3 linked regions of the Callithrix jacchus genome follow. The protein of the gene in region 2 purifies or fractionates together with the protein of the main gene of each other region. This does not show direct contact. Links are inferred from orthologs where the notes say so. Each region holds a gene or a part of one and is shown on either strand. Other genes may lie near its edges.

Region 1 (7,411 bases), on a different chromosome or scaffold from region 2:
AAAGTCAGTTTACAAAAGGTTTAATTCTTCCTTCCCCACTAAGATTAAGCAATAGTTATTCTGGTTTCTCCCCAGTACAAATTTGTGAAGACTGATTTAGGAATCTTAAAGTGTTATTAATGTCAGGTAAAATTCAAATGTATCATCCCGTTTAGGTTCTAAAATTACACGCTTTAGGACCTCATTTTTCATTGAAAGCATGACTAAGTATGGCTGATTACATCAATATTCTTGCAGAGCTTAATAAATTAGTTTCAGTTTCTGAACTTGAGTCATGTCCATAACTTCAGGTAACCTCAATCTTCTCATCCCTTCCTTTCTCCTTTCCTTGTGAGATACAAGGCAGAAATACTTTAGAAAATCCAAAATTGTAGTCTACTTTAAATCATTCTCACTGTTCTTACTACTTATTATTCTCTTCTAACATTCAACCTGTATACCAGCTGTCTAACTGGACTGGGGTAGATCTCTTACAATGATCAAGTGTTACTTAAATGTTTTACTTTTTTCATATATCAAATTTCACAAATAAATTGTTCTAAAACCCAACTTCTTATTATTCCCACTTAGTCTGTATGAAATGCAACTGGGAGAAAACATCTGGGGACATAAGAACTATAGATTAAATTAGGGACATAGATAAATGCTGCAGACATCAGTAGTTTATTGTTTAGTCCAAACACATTCAAAATGGAAACTCAAAATACTTTCCACCTGAAACAATTAAACTAGATTCTACTAGCATATAATGCTTAACACATTACAGCAATAAAGATGGTAATCCATTGTCTTCTATACCTACTAAAGCCAAGATGGTAAAGCCAATTTGGTTGCAATAGTGTCATAAGGATAGAATATTACCATCAAAAAATAAAACAAAAATCAGCAAATAACAGTAATGGTAGATGAATATTTTTACTCTGGTTCACTGAAAAGAGGACAAAATGTTAAAAGTCCACAGTACTGCAGGTGAACAATCACCATGTAAACTTCTCCATATGATGTTTTAATGTTTTATTCATGGTATGTAAAGACTGAAGCTGAATGGCTCTTTGCTCTACTTTTCTATTACACTTAACATTTGTCATTACTTTTGGTGCCAGAACAGTTTTCATGGATGGCAGGGCAATATCCTGAATTGGAAATTTTATATATGTGTATATATAAAAAATGGGAAATAGAAATAGAAGAATAGAGGAAAATATGCTTGGGGCGAAAAAAACATTGACAATAAAACAGCTGCTTCTTTGAAAGTAGTATTAATAAAGGCTTCAAAACTCCAAAGTAATTTTCTGGTAAGAACTTCAAGTACTATACATCAGAAAGTATAAAACTGTTTCAAACAAACAAACAAAAAAAGAATCCTTAAGCCCCCCAAAATGGAAACGATGAAAATCTGCGTCCCCAAAATATATCCAATAGTGCAAGACTTTTCCTCAAACATGGAAGACCTCATTCAAAGGGGAAAAAAGAGACAGATTTTACTCATATTGCCCAGTACATAAAAAACAAAATACATCCATCATTTGCTAGTTTACTAAATAGCAAACAGTTGCATAATTCAGAACCAATTTGCTATGTCAAGTGCATATCTTGTTTGTTTTACAAAGATAGAACGGAGAAGTCTTCCATGCTAATGAGCAGCTTTAAGTGGTCACACTTATTTACCTCACTTCCTGCCTGAAACATCAGAAACTGGTATTTACTGATTGCTCCAAGTATAAAATTGGATAAGCTTTGCCATACTTGTGGTTTACTGGAACTTGCTATAAAGACAGACAATAATCCAGCAGCTACAAACTTTGCTCACAGAATTGTTTAAAGATTCATGTAAAAATAAAAGATGTCGTCCCAGACTTAAATTCAGGAGCCACTCGGGTGCTGACATCAGTTCAAGAATTGTGCAAAATGAATGACAGTTCCCTGCCCCCCAAATAGAAAATGCAAACACTTAAGAGCTGCTGTTCTTTTCTCTGAAAATTGCAGTATCCTCACTTCAGGCTTACTTGCCATTTATGGAATCTGACTGCTTTTAAAATGTCACTAAAAATGTACATCAAGCTGACTGACATTTCCAAGCGCTGAAGTGATACGTTTCAACGTCCACATTCTAGCCAAGAGAAAAGTCAACTAGACACTTACTCAAATAACTGACTTCCTCCTTCCCTCTCCCCACAAACACACAGGACTCCCTCCCTCCCACAGAGAACACAAAGTTGTTAACTAAAGAACAAGATAAATAATATGCTAGTCCATTTTACTGATTTTAAAGATACTGCAATTTTTATACATTTCGATGATTTTTCAACATTTTGCAGCTGTTTGGCTTTGCAGCACAGCAATTCATACACTATACTGTACAAAATTACCAGCAAGACTGGAATGATGTATTAATAGAAGGCACCATCATGCTTATTACATTACCAGAGAACAAAAATACAGTAAGACAATTATCACTGTACACAGCTTAAAGAAAGGAAAAAGGGGAGGAGGAGTGTGTTGAGCAGCCAGCCATCCCTGTACTGAAGAGGGGCAGGTAGAAAAATCTTAGATATGGAGCTACTAAATCTGGTCTAATAGTCAAGACCATAGCATTTGAAGTTCTATTTTTTGTTATTTAGTTCATAACTAAAATGATTTCCTTCTGGAATATACTTGTAGTCTTGTTAAGGTTTATGTGTACACACGCTGGTCACAGCAAGCAGATAAAATGCCCTCATCATTTCACAAACTATTCTCTACTGGAAAAGAAGATGAAAGATTTTTTTCCCTGTTGCCACCTGTTGCAGATGTCAATGTTAATGAGTTCAGAGTACCCATTAGTGCATTTTGATGAGTGCATAATAAGTTTCTGTTGGTTTGTATTTTTGAGGGGAGCCAAGAAAAAAGGCAAGATTCTCCAATTGCACAAATTGCACTATTTGTATTCCCAAAATTAACAGGCAGAAACAGTAACACTTAAACAAAATGTGCAGCAGAAGATTTTTTTTGACTCAAAGGACCTGAATTCAGTGGGCATGTCCTTTTAAGTTCACTTTGTCGTAGATAGTTTAAAATATGGTCAGTTCTCAGTCCTTAATTCTCCAAGTCTAGATTTATAAATTAACAATGTGAATCCTGTTGTGAAACTGGGGTAATAATGTCCACCTCAATTTAACTGATAACCAAAAGATGCTTTTCACATCAAAGAAATGATCAAAAAGGCTGTGTCACATTCCAAAGCCAAAAAAAAAATTAACAAGAATGCAAACACGATGAATATTGTACCACTGCCAAGACTATGCCAACAGTGGAGCTTCAGCGACGCTGTCCTGTGAAGCGGCCTTCCATTTGCCCGGTTCCTCTTCCAGAGCCAAGTTTCTGTGCCATGCCACCTCTTGGAGGAGGTCCTCTTCCATCACGATCACGCATCATTCCGCCACCCACAATTCCACGGGGACCACCAGGACCTCGATCATTGCGCCTAATATCCCTGCGATCATCACCACCACCTCTGGTTTCTCGCTCTCTTGCAGCTCTTGTTTTTTTCTCTTCCACATTTAAACGTACTTCTCCTCGAAACATAATCGGCTTTATAAAAGAGGAGAAAAATATTTACATGGGCAAGTTAGACAGCAATAGAAATGTATTACTCTGAACAGATAAGTTAGATAAGCGTAACCCCCCATCCCACCCCACTCCACTAGAGACAAGGTCTCAGCTATAACCTAGGCTGGTGAACAGCCAGTGGCACAATCATGGCTCACTGCAGACATGACATCCCGGGCACAAGTGATCCTCCCACCTTAGCCTCCTGAGTAGCTGGGATAATAATAGGTGTCCACCACCACAGCCAGCTACTTTTTCTTTTTGGTAGATATGATGTCTCATTGTTGCCCAGGCTGGTCTTGAACTCTGCTAGGGTCAAGCAATCCTTCTGCCATAACTTCCCAAAGTGCTGAGATTACAAGTGTGAGCCACTATAACCTACGAAAATTCTTAACATGCAATCTCTCCCACCTTTTTCAGCAAAGCAAGTAACAAAATTTAAATAATCCACATCTTAAAGACTTTAAAACTGCTAACAAATCTTTATTCACTGCATAAATACTCTTTAATAATTAACTATTTTTAGCTTTACTATTAAAAGATTCTCTATGGTTTTTAAATACCCCAAATTAATATATACAACAGAAATAATAGTCTTGAAATATGCCCTTTAAATCACTTACTTTCGCGATTAAGATTCTCTGAACTGGTTCAGAGTCATCAAAAACCACAAAACCAAAATTTGGAAGCTTTCCCCCAACACCCTTGGTATTGATGCGAAGTTCCACAACGTTTCCAAAACCTGTGAAAATATATATTACATCAAGAGTTAAATATTTTTAACAGAATACTTTGATGGCTGTAATTGTTCAGGATGAATAATCTTATCTCCTTGATCCATTTTAAAAGAAAACTCGCAAGCTTCCACACACAGTGATAGCTAAGGTACATTTATTCAAGCAGGCAGTCACCTAAGATACCAAGTAGCCTGCCTGCCTTTCTGCATCTTTGTTACTCCTTTCAAAAGTAAAGTTAACTGCATAATTTGGAAAGACAATGTAGTTTCTCCTAATATATTGACCCATTTGCCAAATGAATCCTTTATCTCTGAATTTATGACTGATTTATCCAGTCTGATTTATCTTCTAAACTCTGTTGAGCCAGACCAAGTCAACACTAAGCAGTCACGGAGAAACATCTGATATAGTCATCTACTCCCTTCCTCTCAATTGAGGTGAGACTGGTAGCTGGACACAGTATAGAGAGAAACATTTTTTAAAAAGTAGTTATTGAAAAAGCTCTATATGCTTCTTGCTTAATTTAAAATGATTTAAAAACTTACAGCAAAATAAATCACTTACTCATGAAGAATTCTTTCAGTTCATTTTCATCAATATCATGTGGCAAGTTACCAACAAAAAGTTGATGACTATCTGGATAGCGAATTATTCTACGGTTGTCAGAGTCATTCTGTTCCATATCTCCTCTGCCTGAAAAGAGAAATAGAACAGATATTAAAGTTTACAATATCATAAAAACTACTTCAAAGGAATGAATGTAAAAATCACTTACTATTGATATTCCTGTTTTAGCTTAATAAGACTAGGTGAGCTTCTTGAAAAAGAGGCAAAAGTACCTATTATTAGTAGGTTAGAAAACAGCATGACACTAAAATGTAAAGTGAGGACAATGACTAGGTTGCTAAAATAGCTTCTTCTAGATCTACTAGACTGATTATACAAAAATCAAGTATTAGTATTACAGGTATTCCTCCTTAACCAAACTGCTGCCATCACCCAGGAGCCAAGCAGACTTCAGATAGTGAGGTACAGACTACTAAATATTTGCTTAGTCTTTTGAAATTCAAAATTATTTGGCTATATGACATTACAGCAAAATCAATAAATTTTAACAGCAATTATCACATTTATGTAGTCTATACATTTTAAGTGTATATGTATATAGATATAAATAAAATCTTATTTGACTCTCTCAATAACACAGAACACAGTGAGGCATACACAAGAATAATTTGTGTAATGTTTGACACAAAAGCTCAGAATTTAAGGTCTCACTCAAGATCCTAAGTTTAATCAGTGACAAATTTACAACTTCTAGTTTACTTTAAAAAACAAAAAACATTGTAAATGTGATAGTCACTATCTCCATCTCTCCCATCTCCTTTCAAAAGCAATCTAAAAATTCTTATACAGTTCAAATAAAGGTATTACATGTATAGCTAACTATGTAAACAAGTCAAAAATCATGGCAACTTACTTAAAAATCAAAATAAGAATCTAGGTGTGCTTACTGTTTATCTGTGAAGAGACAGTGCTAAGAGAGTAGGTTACTGGCAGCTTGGTTTTGAATTCTTAAAACCAGTGACAATAACCAAATAAATTTTAAGTCTTTTACTCCTTCAAAACATGTCTCCATTGCATGTCAACCAATCCTCCCTAAAAACTGGTTATTCACCACAGATACTATTTTAGCAGGTTGCTCACATCACATCTTTAAGCAATTTGATACTATACAGGTCTGTGTACAGAACACATCATAGTTTTTGGGTTTTTTTAAAGTTCAGTCTTTTCCAACCCTACAAATGTTAAATGCTAAAGGCAGAGCTGACTCACCTGGTCTTGGTCCTCTAGGAGGGAAACCAGGTCGTTCTCTAGGTCGCTGTTCACGCACACGAGGTGGCTGAGATTGAACTTCTGGTTTAGCTTCAACTCTTGGCTAAAATATAAAGGAAAAAACACATTGTAAAAAACACTCCACAGGAGAAAAATCAACTAAAGCAACTAACAAGTCTCTAGTAGACATAATGATAGCTTTAAGTTTAGAATGTTTTTAACATAGTGTCCTATGTATATGAAAAATAAATTTTTATCAAGATATTCTGTACCAATCTAGGACTGTAGGTAGCTTTTGTTTTCCCACTCAAGGCTGTATAACTCACAATAAGATGCTTTTTACAGTTATATTTTTTCATTAAAGTTGTATCAATACTGAAATAGCATAAAAAGTATTGCTACCAAAAAAAAAAAAAAATCACAAAAATGCAAGATGAACCACTCCATGTAAATAAACAAAATTAAAAGCCATCTTTATCTTAAGACAAAAATCCATAACACATAATTTCTGAAAATCTAGTTTGCTGTCCTTCAAATGTAATAGTGCTCATTAGTATTGCCTAAATCTCTGCCCATAATCTTAAAATCAGTATTTTTGTAGTTCAAAGTATAAAAATTAGCTTGCTCTAACACCTAAAATTGCTACCTTAAGTTAAAATGCATGCTAAAAAGATAACAGAAACTTATAGAAACCTGTATGTAGCAACTCAGATAGTCAAACTCCTTTAACTCCCTACTGTTCTTTCTTAAGAGAAAAATACACATTTGAAGTATTGGCCCCAGTGATTTTCCCTAACTAGGAGGCTGGGAGTAATAGAACAGCTTAAGATGCCTACCAAAAGTTTCTGCCAACTGCTGAATTAAACATATAATTATTTTTAAAACAAAATTACATTGGCATCTGCTATTACCTTTCCCTCAAGACAACAGCTTTTTCAGTATTCCCAACTTCCTCGGACCTTCTACTACCCAAATATTTATGGTCCAAGGAGACACAAAATAAGATGAACCTACAAAGGATGCTGAAAATACCCAACAGGATATGGAAAACATGTCCTCAAATCAGAAAGCTAGTAATTTCAGTTCCATATTTAAAGATGGTCATCTCTGAGGACCTCAGTCCATGCAGTGGCTCAAATTCTTTAATTATACAACAGATAGTGTAATTTACAAGGACAAATTTTGATACAAAAATGCTTCTTTCAAAAATGAGAATTTAATGTAAATGATTTCAGCCACTGTTACCAAAA
Region 2 (7,411 bases):
GTGTCTTCTTGCCAGTCACTGCTTGCATAGCACGGCTCGGGCCTCCTCACAATCACCCTATTGATTCAACATTCTCAGCAATCCCACCCAGCACACACTACTTCCGCTACACTTCAGAGATACAGATATCCAATGCCTTGTTACAGGTGCCACACTAAAGCCGGAGTTCAAGCCCAAGTGAGACACCGCCAATCCCACAGCTGGCCAATCCCATCCACAATGCTGCCTGCCGCCCCCAGCCAGCTCCCGAGTCTCTAGAGAAGACGCGATCCCTATTAGGGGCCCTGGATCCTCACTGCCCTCCTGGGCCATAGTCACCTGTGAGGGGTAGTGGGCCATGGGCTGCATCATGGCAGGCTGGCCTGGGAACTGCTGAGGGTTGTAGGGAATATAGGAAGAATAGGGTGTGGCAGCCACCAGAGGTGGGCCAGCAGCCGCAGCAGCCTGCATCATTGGCGGGGCTGAGGCTGGCTGGTGTTGGTCCGAGCGCTGCGGGGGCAGGGAGCCTGGAGGAGGGGAAAGAGAGCAGAGTTGGTCAAGCTCCACCTGCCAGTAGGCCCTTGGCAGCCTCGAAGCCTGCCCCTCCCAGCCCTGCTCACCTTTTGCTCCCCGGTACTTGCCCTGCTGCCCAGGCACTGAATTAGATACAGGATATGGATACATCTGAGGTGCCTAGGGATGAGGACACAGAGGAGGCTGAATGACTTGCTCACAAATGCCCAGAACAGGCCTGACATGGTCCCTCAGGCAGCCCCACCAAATCCCACCCCCCTAACCCTGGGCCCAGTCAATCTTTCCGCATACCTGCACAGCTGGTCCCATGTGGATCTGAGGTATGTAGGAGATGTACTGGGGGCTGTATAGCCCACTCTGGCCTGCTGTCAGCACCGGGATGGAGGGAGTTGAATGAGTCCGGGGCCCCGGAGAAGTTGGAGTACTAGTGGATTTATTCTGCAAAAAACAAGGGAAGACAATTTTATTTCGTATCTTCCTTTCTACTCCTGGCCATGCCTTCAGTAGTAACAGCCAGCATCCATGAAATGCTGGGTACCAAACACATTCTGCACTGATCTTGGTTAAGCCTCGCACTAAACCCTGAGAGATGAGCATTCTCAAATTACAGGTGAGGCGGAGAATTTAAGTGAAATTTAAGAATTTAAGTCCAAGATCACAAACCTTCCAAATACAAGCGCTTAAGCCAAGTTAGCTGGCCCAAATAGAGCTTCTGTTCATGACTACCCCACTCTTACCCCACTCTTAATACTCCCTCAGCCAAATGCCAAGAACCAAAGAAAAACCTGTTAACTCCTCGTCAGACTCACTGGGATCTCTGGTCACCCAACCCTGGAGAACTGAGTCCACTTTCCCCAAGCCAGCCCCAAAGTTGCCATCCTTACATTTTTATGACATCTCCTCACACTGCCTGCTAGTCAAGTGGTCCTGGAAGTGAAGCACTCCCCCTATTCATCTATAAGCACTGCCCAAGTCTCCTCACAGAAACCAAAGTCCACATTTTCCCATCCCAGCTCACCACAGACAGCAGAGGCTTTGTGGGATTGAACTCCTTGGCATTGGGGTTCAACGTTGATTTCTTCACTTGTCTGTGAAATAAAGTACAGTAAATCTTCACGGCTTGCTCCCGTCCCTCCTGCCATCCTTCCAGGGCACCAGCATGCTCCACTCACTCAGCAACAGGGCCTTCATCCTTGTCCTCCCCCTTAATAAGGCCCACCGGGGGGCTGCCGGTTTGGCTTGGGCAAGGTGGTGGGGGCTGTTCTGGCCCCTCAGTGCCTCCTGCTGGTGCCAGGGGTGGTTTGTCCTCCTTATCCGATAAAGACTCTGTCTTGGAGGAGACAGGAGACCCCATGGGCTCTGAAGCCAAGAGACCATCAACCTCCTTCTCTTTTCCTTTGGCCTCCTCCTTTAAGATCCGGGGAGGAAAAGGATCCAGGCTGTTCTCCGGTGAGCTACTGGGCTGAAGCTGGAAGGGAGAAATACATACATGGTCCAGTCTGACCTAGACCCTAGGCACTGCTTTCTTCTTTCATCCTTGATTTCATCTTTTTGACCCCTACCTAGTCCTTTGCCTCATCTATGAAGCACCCCTAACCCCTTTAACCTGCCAACATCCAGCTCACTTCCACAGTTCTCTCACCTTAAACTGGGCCCCAAACTTTCTTAGTTCTTCCAGTTGGAATCGTTTCTGTTCATTCTGAAGACCAGGGACTACGAGAAAACAGTGAAATAGAAGAAAATACAACACATTCTTTCTCTAAGGTGACTACGCAGTGCCAAGAGAATAGAGGACAAGTTAGCAAAGAAAAAAGGAGAAACTCCTGAGAATCACAGAAGTGAAATTGCGATCTATGGGCTGATAAACATTGTTTGCCTCTGAATTCCAACAAACTTAACTAAAATACTCTCCCCCAGACAAAGGAGCATTAGTCCTCAGCAGAAAAAAAAAAACCACCCTCACCTTTCCCAGCTATCCGAGCCAGCTCCTGGGGCTCCAGAGTTCTCCCAGGTTCCTTGGTAGAGAGTTCTTTTACTATGCAAGGAGAGAGAAATGCCCAAAAGTCCTTCTGTCCAGAACCACACATCATACTCAACATGCATCCACAGCACTCAAACACCTAGCTCTTACCATCTGTGGGGGCCAGGGAGATCTTTGGAGAAGCTGGGGAAATGGAGCCCACTCCAGGATCTGAGACTGATGAGGTCACAGGGATGGAGGCTGAAGAGGTTGGCACTGCCGAGCCGATGGGAGGCTCAGGACAGGAAGCTGAGATTGGGGCAGGTGCAGCAGACTTGGGAGAACGTGGGGGATACATCCGGCCCACTGGAAGAAAAGGAGGAGCTGTGGGATGGTTACTACTGGTCTACAGTAGTAAGTACAAGGGCCGTACTCAAATCAGCAAGAAAGTTTACACACTATACACCTAGGGTCACCAACTTAAATGTCTAGAAGGCCAAAGCAGGTAACATAAGCAGGTAAATGGCCTGGTAGGCATCATCAGTGACTGGAATGGTTTTTGTTTTTTTAGACAGAGTTTCACTCTTGTTGCAAAGGCTGGAGCGTAACGGCAAGATCTTGGCTCACTGCAACCTCTACCTCCCAGGTTCAAGTGATTCTCCTGCCTCAGCTTTCCTAGTAGCTGGGATTATAGGTGGCTACCACCAAACCCAGCTAATTCTGTATATTTTTTTTAGTAGACATGGAGTTTGCCACGTTGGTCAGGCTGGTCTCCTGAACTCAGGTGATCCACCCCGCCCCACTGACTGGGATGCTTAAGGGGGTTAACTGGGATTCTGTCCCAGTCAACTCAAGCTATGCAGCAAGGCAAGCTCAGTTGACAGAACTTCCTGTAATTCAAAAGAAACTAAAAATTTTCTGTGGTTTCTATTATTTCGTTTATTTATTTAGATAAGGGTCTTGCTCTGTTCCTCAGACTGGAATGCAACCTCCTAGGCTCAGCAATCCTCCCACCTCAGCCGCTCAAGTAGCTGAAAGTACAGGTGCACACCATCATGCCCAGCTAATTTTTAAATTTTTTGTAGAGATGGGGTTTTGCCATGTTGCCCAAGTTGGTCTTGAACTCCTAGGCTCAAGCAATTTGCCCATGTTGGCCCGTTTTAAAAACTTAGCAAATGGCCAGGTGGATCACGAGGTCAGGAGTTTGAGACCAGTCTGGCCAACATAGTAAAATCCTGTCTCTACTAAATAACAACAAAAAAAAATGAGCCAGGTGTCGTGGTAGGCACCTGTAATTCCAGCTACTGGGGATGCTCAGGCAAGAGAATCGCTTAAAGAGGTGGAGGTTGCAGTGAGCTGGCGCCACTGCACTTCATCCTGGGCAACAATGTGAGATTCCATCGCACACACACACAAAAGTCAGCAACTGATTCAAATCTCAAAAGATGTCTGCCAAGCAGACATAACCCATGGATTGCTAGGTTGAGATTTCTGCACCAGAGAAACTGAAGATTTCTTTCCCAATATGACTAAATCCCAAACTCCCAAAACATCTATCTTAAAATTATCTCCCATTCCACCATTGTAACAACTGACATATTTATCAATTTATAAAACTGATGAAATTTATCAGTTTCTTTCTATTCATTTCTTCATCCGACACTACTGAGGCTTTACCTGCAGGAGGTGGTGGAACAGAAGTTTCTCCAGAAGGCCTATTACTGGGCGAAGACAGAGTCTTGGCACCTCTCAGAGGCCGCTGTGCCTTTGGGGACATGCGGGAAGGGCCTGTTTTTTTTTTTAAGATGAAGAAAATGTCAGAAGCAGCAGACAACCTGCTACATTACATTCCTACCAATGCAGCATCATTGCAACCCACCCAAACCCCTGCAATTACCCTCCCAACCTCCTCGGCATCCTCTTCCCTGCCCCACCAAGTTTACCTCATAACTCACCTCCATTGATACCACGGGCCTCAGAACCTGGGCCAGGGCTACTGTTGTCCAGATGGTGAGGGCCACGAGGTGGCAAAGAGCTAAGGCCAGGCCGCCCGCCCCGAGAGCTGCTGCATCGAACTCCTCCCCGGGGGCCTTCCCGGACTCGTTGAGGCAGAGGGATATACTTCCCCTCCCTGAGGAAAGAGTTCAAATAAGGCCAGGTAGCCACAAAACCCATGTTTTGGAAAGACGAAGCCATTTCTTCCTCTAAAGTCTCCCACCTCTGACCCAAACATACACACTGCCTGGCTCTAGCACTATCCCACTTGAAGATCTGCCCTAGTTAAATGTTCTGTGGCTTATGATCTTATGTGACATCAACTCTTGAGCCAACCAACCTGGCCGGTGCTCCACAATTCTACAACTCCTAACCTATAACAAAGGTAAGATCACACTGTAGTTCCAGGGGGAGCTTCTATAAGACACACATAATGTAGTTATATTTCACTTTTATAAAAAGAAATAGCACATATATATAAATGGATACCAAAAAAAAAAAAGGGAAAGTAAACCAAAGTTCTGAAATGTTTCTTTTCCTAGATCTACAAGCTTCATTCAGCCTTGTTACTTTGGACCAATTATATCACCCTGCTGGACCTTCAACCCTAAACCTATGTGTGACATTTCACATGCTCTCAAAGCTTAAACTACAGCACACATCCATCAACTCTAGGCCCAGGCCCCAGGACAGTCCCGGCTATTTGTGACAGTCACCTGGATGCCAAGCTGGGGCTCTCCCGCCCTGAACCCTGCCGCTGCACTGCACTGTGCTTCTCCTCTTCAGTGCGCCCATCATCATTCTCCATGGCGATCCGTAGGCGGTACTGGGGGCTTGATTCAATCTCTCGAGCTAACTGGGCCGCACGTAGCTCTCGCTGACGAAACTCTTCTGAGTTGTCCTTTTCTAAGGGCACCCTGAAACAGCACCCACAGACCACCACCATCCCAGTGCCAGGGGACAAAGAGGAAAAAAGGAAAAACATTTCAACCAGTTTGATCACCAGTTCAGGTACCTAAGTACTTAATCCTCTCAACTCAATATCTGGGTTTAACAGGCACCTACTGCGTCTCAGGTAGCCTTATCTGTAAATGTGAGGAACACGTAGATGCTTAAAACCTTTGGCCAGGCGCAGTGGCTCATGCCTGTAATCCCACTTTGGGAGGCCAAGGAGGGTGGATGAGGCCAGGAGTTCGAGATCAGCTTGGCCAATGTGGTAAAACCCCGTCTCTACTAAAAATACAAAACAATTAGCTAGGCATGGTGGCAGGAATTTGTAATCCCAGCTACTCAGGAGCCTGAGGCAGGAAAACCACTTGAACCCGGGAGACGGAGGTTGCAGTGAGCCGAGACCATGCCACTGCACTCCAGGCCTGGGTGACAAAGAGCGAGACTCCATCTCAAACAAACAAACAAAAAAACCTCTGCGGGAACAGTTCCACAAGGCAGAGCAGGAGCCGAAACAGCAACCCTGGACACCCAGGGAAGAATGAGCACAGTTCTACCTGGAAACTTGTCTTCTCTTAGTAACCCCACATCCCCAACACATCACCTGGAAAGCACCAAGACACTCACGTATAAGAAGAAAGACTGCTATCATAGGTGGTCTTCACACCGTAGTTCTCCTCATTGAACTTGAACATTTCATTGGGGTCCCATCCATTGGACTGGGGAGGAAGAAAGGCGGCTTTAAAATCCAGCAAGTAAAGCAACAACGACAAGTCACTTCCCTTCCATCAGGTTAAAAACTCCAAAATGTGACCAAATTGGCTGGGCACAGTGGCTGAAACCTATAAAAGCTGAGGCAGGAGGATCCCCTGAGGCCAGGAGTTCAAGGCCAGCCTGGGCAACATAGCAAGAGCCCATCTCTACAAAAAAATAACATTTAACAGCCAGGAGGGGTGGTACCTGCCTGGAGTCCTAGCTACTTGCTACTGAGGAGAGAGGACCACTTAAGCCCAGGAGTTTGAGGCTGCAGTGAACTCTCACGGCACCACTGCACTTAGGCCTGGGCAACTGGCTGGACCTGTAATCCCAGTACTTTGGGAGGTGGGCGGATCACCTGAGGTCAGGAGTTTGAGACCACCCTGGCCAATATGGTAAAACCCCATCTCTACTAAAAATAGAAAAATTAGCCATCCATGGTGGCATGTGCTTGCAGTACTGTCTGAGGCAGGAAAATCACTTGAACCTGGAAGGCAGAGGTTGCAGCAAGCTGAGATCAAGCCACTGCACTCCAGCCTCCAGCCTGAGCAAGAGTGAGACCCTGTCTCAAAAAAAAGGAAAAAAAAAAAAGCACCCGTCTCAAAAATAAAGTGACCAAACCAAGAATGAAAAAAATAGGAATGTGGCTGGCAAAAGTAATCAACTATTAATTGTAATTACTAACTGCAATTGTTAATAACTACTAACAACTACAGCATAAATTAGCAATAACCAATAAAACTGAGAAGTCTTAAGACCTAAAAATTCTATTTCCAAGATATCCCAGAGAAATTCTGGCACGTGTGCGTGGGAAATACCTGTTCTAAAAGTCCAGTAAGATACTATAGTTAGTAGCAAAATAATGGCAGCAAAATGCAGATAAGAATACAATTTGCTGTGCGTACATACGTATGTAAATATAGACAATACACAACAATAGAAGCAAAGAACTAGATCCACGTAGCACCACAAGAAATTAAAAAAGGTGAAAAAAAAGCCAATTCTTGTACAAACTAAACATAACAAAACAATAATGTATTTATTCACAAGACATTTGTTTCTCAACAGATGGTCGCACTGGTCCCAGGCTGAAGCACAGTGGTTGTTTGCAAGTTCAATCATAGTGCACCTCAGCCTCCTGAGTAGGGACTACAGGTGTGTACCACCATGATCAGCTCTATTCATGAGGTTTTTGTTTTTTTTTTTGAGACAGCCTCACTCTGTCACTTAGACTGGAGT
Region 3 (6,678 bases), on a different chromosome or scaffold from region 2:
GTCACCATCTCTCCTTTACTATAATCTGTTAAGAGCTGACAGGCCCACCTATGGTCCCCAGAACCTCAACATTAAACAAATATAATCCCAAAAGCCATTACTACCTTAGAACCAGAAATCCTTAATTTAGTTATCATCTAGTGCCACATGGCCAAATTGATCAGCAACTTTAATTCAACCCCTCATTCCACATAAGACATTGCTAAGTTGTTTTTTTTTTTTTGTACATTAGGAAGTTAGCTAAAACCTGATATTCAAATAAACGTTGGTGTTATTTCTTCTGCAAAGTTATAAACTGCTGAACTAAAAAGGTCAATGATTATCTCATCTGTATGCAATACTGCAGAGATTCTCTAAAGTAGCACAAAAAGAAAACTGTAATATAAAAGACATCTTCAGAAGTAGATTGGCAAATGCAACCATTTAAAAGAAATGTCATTCAGCATACAGGGGTCTACAAATCTATGCTCCATAGAAATGTTACCTGTAAGTTCTACAATGGATTTCTATAAAGTGCAACATTTTCCATTAAATCATTAACTTCTAACAAGGGTTTTACAATAGAGGGATGAAGAAAATTATCAGGTCACAGTTGATTAGCACAAAATACAAATTCTGTAAACTCACCTGGATTATGCTATAATAAAAATATTGTTATCCACATCCAGATTTCAAGTTTGCACTAAATTATCAAACCAGATGAGAAAAAAACTTAAGAACAAACCACCATTACTGTGTTACCATACAGAATCTGCAAATCAAAAAAAGACTGGCAAAATCCAAGTTTAATTATCTTGTCTCCCCTAAAGAAAATTAAGAACTATAATGTTAACCCTATTCCGAATGTATTCCTAACTCAAGTCTCCCTACAGTAGGAAGTTCATTACGGTCTATGTTACTGAAACGTAACTGGGGGGTCATTATGGTTCTAGAGAAAAAGTATTTGTTTGGGAGTCAAATATGCTCCTTGCTACATGGAGGACTGGAAAGTCTGTCATTTCACTGCTCTCAGTTTGTTCCTCATCTATTATGCTAAGGATAACATTAACTAATCCACAGCACAAATGTGAAAATTAACTTTTCTAACCTAAAACTAAAGTGCAAATCAACTAACACTGTGGTAGTGACATACTCAACCAAAGTCAAATTATTATTTTTGGATTATCCATCTCACTGGTCCCTAGCAATATTTGACAAAATTAAGAACAGTGGAATATACAAAGTAAAGCCCAACCTCACCACTAAAACAAAAATATACTTTAAGGCCCAAGATCTCTCATTATAAATCAACAGGTCTTAAATCTAAGACTCACTGAACCAAACAAATTTTACCTAGCTAAAATACTCATGAAACCAGGTACAATGCTGTACACCTATAGTTCCAGCTATCTGGAAGGCAGGAGGGCTGATGAGGCCAGGAGCTTGAGACCGGCCTGACAAAATAGCAAGACCTTGCCTCTGTAAAAATAAAAATACTCATGGGTCAAGCGTTCTAAGCTCAGTAACTCTTAAGCTCAATGTATCTATACATTGGGCCATTCCTACAGATGAAAAATTTCATTTTAAAATCTGAAAATATTGAATGTGATGAGCTCCTACAGCTGCCACCTATAGGAAATGTTGCCCTAACTTATATTCACTTTCCAGCAGTGGAAACGTATACATCTCTAAGCTCTCATGTTTACTCTACATGCAATCATGTACTTAATTGTACAAGGATTCCCCATAGTGCTGACCATAATGCTAATCCTATTTCTTGGGTCCAATACTATCATTCAAAACCTCACAATCATCCCAACTCTGATGACTGAAATCACTGGGGAAGCCTTTTATTTTCTGAGACTGTGCAGTGATTCCCTGTCGCAAGTTACAAGCAGCATCAGCATGTATTGCTGCACCTCTCCACATTTATACACACACATACACAACACACATACACTTGGTACAAATAATGGAAAGTGAAATTACTAATTACTTAGAGTAGATGTTACTATAATTCTTGAAACAGATTTCTATTTCCTAATTAGTTTGTTATTTAACTGAGACTGAATTTCAAAAGGATGAGTCTTCATTTGTTTTCCTAATCCCACAGCTCCACCCACCCATAGGAAGAGCGACTATCCATGTTCTTAATGGGGTTGCTCCATTTTTACACAACATTCGGTATCCTTAGACCCTACCCCCAATAAATGCCAGATGCATGTCTCTCCAACAACCCTTCCAAATCTCACACATTTCCAAATGTTCTCTAGAATGTGCTAACACCAAGCTGAGGATCGCTGCATCTAGTTAATGCCCTGTTTTGAAATGTATAATGTAGTATTCACTTGTGAAGAATAATTTCTAGGTTATCCATAATTTATGACCTTAAAGCTACCATAACTAATTTTTTTTTCCACCCACCACATGCTTAATATAAGCTACAAAAGTACAAGTTGTATTTCTTCCTATTATCACTGATCTGGGTCAAAGTGGTTACCAAAGTTACTTAAACTAACCCTCCAGAAAAGCCATGTGATTCAGTTATGTTTATGTAAAGGAGATGCTGCCAATTTTCAAATATTTGAGGAAGTGGAACCAAACTAGTAACACCAACTTCACTGTAGTCTTAACTGACCCCTTCACAGCAAACCTAGAGTTTCTCAGTCTTAACTGACCCCTTCAGAGCAAACCTAGAGTTTCTCAATAATGCAAATATTCCTATACTATCCTCAAATGACAGTCCTCAAGATGAATACTGTTAAGAAAATAAATAAGTGACTTTGACAACCTGGTTGCCCTTCAATTAGTAATGACAAGTAATCACACAAAGGCTTGCTTCACACTTGTAAACAAAATCTTCACCCATCTCACACACAGCACTCAACAAACAACACATATGTGAAACGAGTATTAGTCTATATTGCCAGATTAAATTTTCTTCCAGAAATATTTTAATAAAAATTGGCCATTTCCAAGAAACACCCACTGCATGCCCATCAATAAGAGAACCATAACAAAATAGAAAATTTACACGAGCACATCAGCAAAGTCCAATATTAAAGTCACATTCCTTCTTATGGGCTATGATTAGGAATCTGATTAGATACCAAAATAAAACTTAATACAAATGCTGAACTACTTAGGCCAAAGAACCTCTATAGAAGCATCTGTCTTCAAAGGCATTCCAGTTTGAGACTCAATTTTAGAATAAGGCATAACAAATAGGTTAACAGAAGACATGTAAGTTGATGAAAGAGGGATTCTACAATTCCCCACATACTCTGAACCTAATAATAAACAAATCTAGATTTTTTTTTTAATTATTTTTCTTTAAACAACTGCCAAGACTGAAATCAAAGATAAATAGAAGGCACAACAGTTTTGCTCTGGTTGTTATCTGGATTTGGGGAATTTTTTTGTTTTTTGTTTTTTTTACAAATACAAATTAAACATGAAAAAAAACTCTATTTCAAAAAAACTAAGTTCATGAAAAGCCTATCAGCTGCATTCTAGACATTTAAAACCTATATATCACAATTTAAATTTCAGTGGTAAAAACAGTAGGTTTTAGAATTGTTTTGTGATCCTCTATCAAAAGAAAATTCTATTCCTTTTAAACATACCAGTGAGAATCAAAACTGTCAAATTTTCCAATGGCAATTTCTCCACACCAGAAAGAAGCCATGACTCTCAAAGAAGAAACAATTTGGGTTTTTCCTGCCTTCAAAATGTTATCAAATCCTGTTTGTCTCACAGGCTTTTGAAACTTGTAGAAAATAAGAAATATTCCAATGAATGAAACATACCAAATGTCAGTAATATGCAAGACACATTCCTTTGGGGAAATGGCTGTTAAAAAAAAAAAAAAAGTCCAGTCTGCATATGCAAAGTAAGCAAGGAAATTCAGTCCTTTTCTTTTTTTCTTCTTTAAAAATCTGTTACTCCTAAAATATCATTCCACAAAATTGGAAGTGAAAGACTAAAGGGCAGGAAAGGGAAGAGAAGGAGAGAGGGATCACACACCATTAACACACAAAAAAAGTAAAATTATACAAACTTATGCAGTTTATAACAGACTGGGGTCATACTCCAAGATACCAAAGGCTGGTCGAAGAAATTCACCATTCTGTAGGAACTAGGGTTCGTATGGCTCCGTGAAGATACATGAAGATTCACTGCCGTGGAGCAAGCCCCCTTCCCACTCCAAATCCTGGTTTCTGCACCATGCCTCCACGGGGAGGGCCTCTCATTCCACCACCCAGCCCACCTCGAGGGCCTCCAGGTCCCCGAAGGCGATTATCTCGTCGGTCCCCCTCCCTGGCAGCTCGAGTCTTCTTCTCTTCCACGTTCAGACGAACCTCACCTCTGAACATGATGGGCTGTAAGAATCAAGGTGACCAGACTTAGAGTACTGATAAGCTGGCTATGACAACAGAGGATTAAAAAAGCTATAAAAAAAACAAAACAAAACAGCAGCGGTCAGGGGCGGTGGCTCACGCCTGTAAATCTCAGCATTTGGGAAGGCCAAGGTGGGAGGATCACGAGGTCAGGAGTTTGAGACTAGCCTGACCAACATGATGAAACCCTGTCTCTACTAAAAAAATACAAAAATTAGCCAGGCATGGTGGCACATGTCTGTATTCCCAGCTACCCAGGAGGCTAAGGCAGGAGAATTGCTTGAACCCAGGAGGTGGAGGTTGCAGCGAGCTGAGATCGCACCACTGCACTCCAGCCTGGGCAACAGAGCGAGACTCCGTCTCCTTAAAAAAAAAAAAAAAGAACCAGCAGATTATACATCAACTGAGTTCTCACAGTTCCGCTTTGTTTGTTTTTTTTAATGAGATGAAGTTTTGCCTATCACCCAGGCTGAAGTGAGCAAGATCTCCGCTCACTACAACTTCCACCTCCCGGGTTCAAACACTTCTCCCTGCCCCAGCCTCCCAAGTACTTGTTTTCTCATAGAATTACGTAAATTGAATAAAGAATTGCCACCTTCTCCACAGATGGTGGAGGCCTAGAATAAAACTGCATCATCACCAATGTGAAAAGATGGCACTGCACATATTTATGCAAAGTACATATACATTTCAAATAAAACCTTCATTGATTTGACAAACTTTAACTTGCTGTTCACCTTCTAAGAATTTCGAATAGTCTTGGTCTTCTTTTCCTCCTAACAGAGCCAATGCAGTTAACAGGCTACCAAACATTTCAATAAATTCAATTCATGCTCTTTACCAGCAATATAATTTTCTACTTTCTTAAAATGAGTATCTAACAGTATTTACTATATGTCACTGAAGTGTTCTATTCAGATTAATTAGCTCGGTTAACCTTTACAACAACCCTCTGATGCTTGATACCTACTTTAAGAACTAGCAAACTAAGGGCTAGGGAGGTTAAAGAACTTTTCCCATGGGCCACAATAATAAGTGATGGAAGAAGAACGTAAACCAAGGCCTCCAGATTGGGAAAAATACGCTTTCAACTACAAAGCTACACTACAGCATGTCATATACCAGAGCAATCAGTTTGACATAAGCTATTTTTGCTCACACAAAAAATTACTGAAAAGAGCATAGTACACTTCTATAAATACCATGAAATGAAGGGTGGCTACAAGATCTAATACATGCTGAATGACGGATTTATCTACAAAGCCTACTAGACATTTCTGGGTTCTTCACTGGCTTTGGTGAGATAAACCACTGTTCTCTCATTTCTCAAACAGTATTTTGCAGGAGATGCTTCACAAAAATATGTGGTCAAATAATTCGAAAGATAACATACATTTGCATGTTAAGGTTGACATAATGTTATGAACCGAACATTAAACTTTGCAATATGGCCAGGCGTGGCTGCTCATCCCTGTAATACCAGCACTCTAGGAGGCCAAGGCAGGCAGATCACCTGAGGTCTGGAGTTCGAGACCAGCTTGACCAACATGGCAAAACTCCATCTCTACTAAAAACACAACAAATTAGCCAGGTGTGGTGGTGGACGCCCATAATCCCCTATTCAGGAGGCTGAGGCTGGAGAACTGCTCGAACCTGGAAGGTGGAGGTTGCAGTGTGCCGAGATCATGCCACTGCACTCTAGCATGGGAGACAAAGCGAGACTGTCTCAAAAAAAAAAAAAAAAAAAAATAGCAGTATGCCCATTAACATTCTGGAGAATATCACTGATCTGCAATGTTTCTATTATATGGCTTAAAGTACATAGTTTTAATCCACAGGGAAGAAAGCAGATTAGTGGCTGCCAGGGACTGGGGAGACATGTACAAGGAATGACTGCATAGCGAGTAGAGAGCTTATGGCTTTTAGTAAAAATCTTTTGGAATTAGAGGTAATGGTTGCAAAGCAATGTGTTCTAAATGCAATTAAGTTGTACATTTTCAAATGGTCAATTTTGTTATGTAAATTTCACCTCAATAAAAAAAGTACAGCTTAATGAATTAGTATTATTTATACCCTTGTTCTTTTCTACTACTACAAAAAGTTGTTCTTTGCAGGGGAAGGGAAGCTTTCTTTGGGGATCCCACCGTAAGATTCCCATTCCACAAATTCCTCTATTATTAGGATGTACGCAGTAAGAGTACTGTTAATAAGGGTGGTTCCAAGTAGGGTGACTACATAATTTATCTTCCAAACCCAATTTATTGACTTAAAGGATAAGCTCTTAATAGTTATTCTCTAA

Evidence for each region.
Region 1: the proteins of ATXN2L (region 2) and G3BP2 purify together in Homo sapiens (affinity purification with mass spectrometry; 4 studies listed by BioGRID and IntAct, counting the BioPlex papers as one, with this or other methods). This does not show direct contact. The link is inferred for Callithrix jacchus from reciprocal best matches to the Homo sapiens genes ATXN2L and G3BP2.
Region 3: the proteins of ATXN2L (region 2) and G3BP1 purify together in Homo sapiens (affinity purification with mass spectrometry; 4 studies listed by BioGRID and IntAct, with this or other methods). This does not show direct contact. The link is inferred for Callithrix jacchus from reciprocal best matches to the Homo sapiens genes ATXN2L and G3BP1.

The regions. Positions count from the first base shown.
Region 1 is NC_133504.1:122,501,079-122,508,489, reverse strand, and holds the end of G3BP2 (ras GTPase-activating protein-binding protein 2), read right to left. Parts: intron 6,265-7,411; coding exon 6,162-6,264; intron 5,019-6,161; coding exon 4,890-5,018; intron 4,331-4,889; coding exon 4,212-4,330; intron 3,571-4,211; coding exon 3,298-3,570; 3' UTR 645-3,297; downstream 1-644.
Region 2 is NC_133513.1:29,119,051-29,126,461, forward strand, and holds part of ATXN2L (ataxin-2-like protein), read right to left. Parts: intron 6,136-7,411; coding exon 6,044-6,135; intron 5,386-6,043; coding exon 5,185-5,385; intron 4,605-5,184; coding exon 4,429-4,604; intron 4,262-4,428; coding exon 4,151-4,261; intron 2,858-4,150; coding exon 2,645-2,857; intron 2,549-2,644; coding exon 2,477-2,548; intron 2,227-2,476; coding exon 2,156-2,226; intron 1,982-2,155; coding exon 1,686-1,981; intron 1,602-1,685; coding exon 1,532-1,601; intron 952-1,531; coding exon 805-951; intron 673-804; coding exon 600-672; intron 507-599; coding exon 319-506; intron 1-318. UniProt on the Homo sapiens protein: Involved in the regulation of stress granule and P-body formation.
Region 3 is NC_133503.1:50,739,365-50,746,042, reverse strand, and holds the end of G3BP1 (ras GTPase-activating protein-binding protein 1), read right to left. Parts: intron 4,362-6,678; coding exon 4,155-4,361; 3' UTR 2,916-4,154; downstream 1-2,915. UniProt on the Homo sapiens protein: Protein involved in various processes, such as stress granule formation and innate immunity. Plays an essential role in stress granule formation.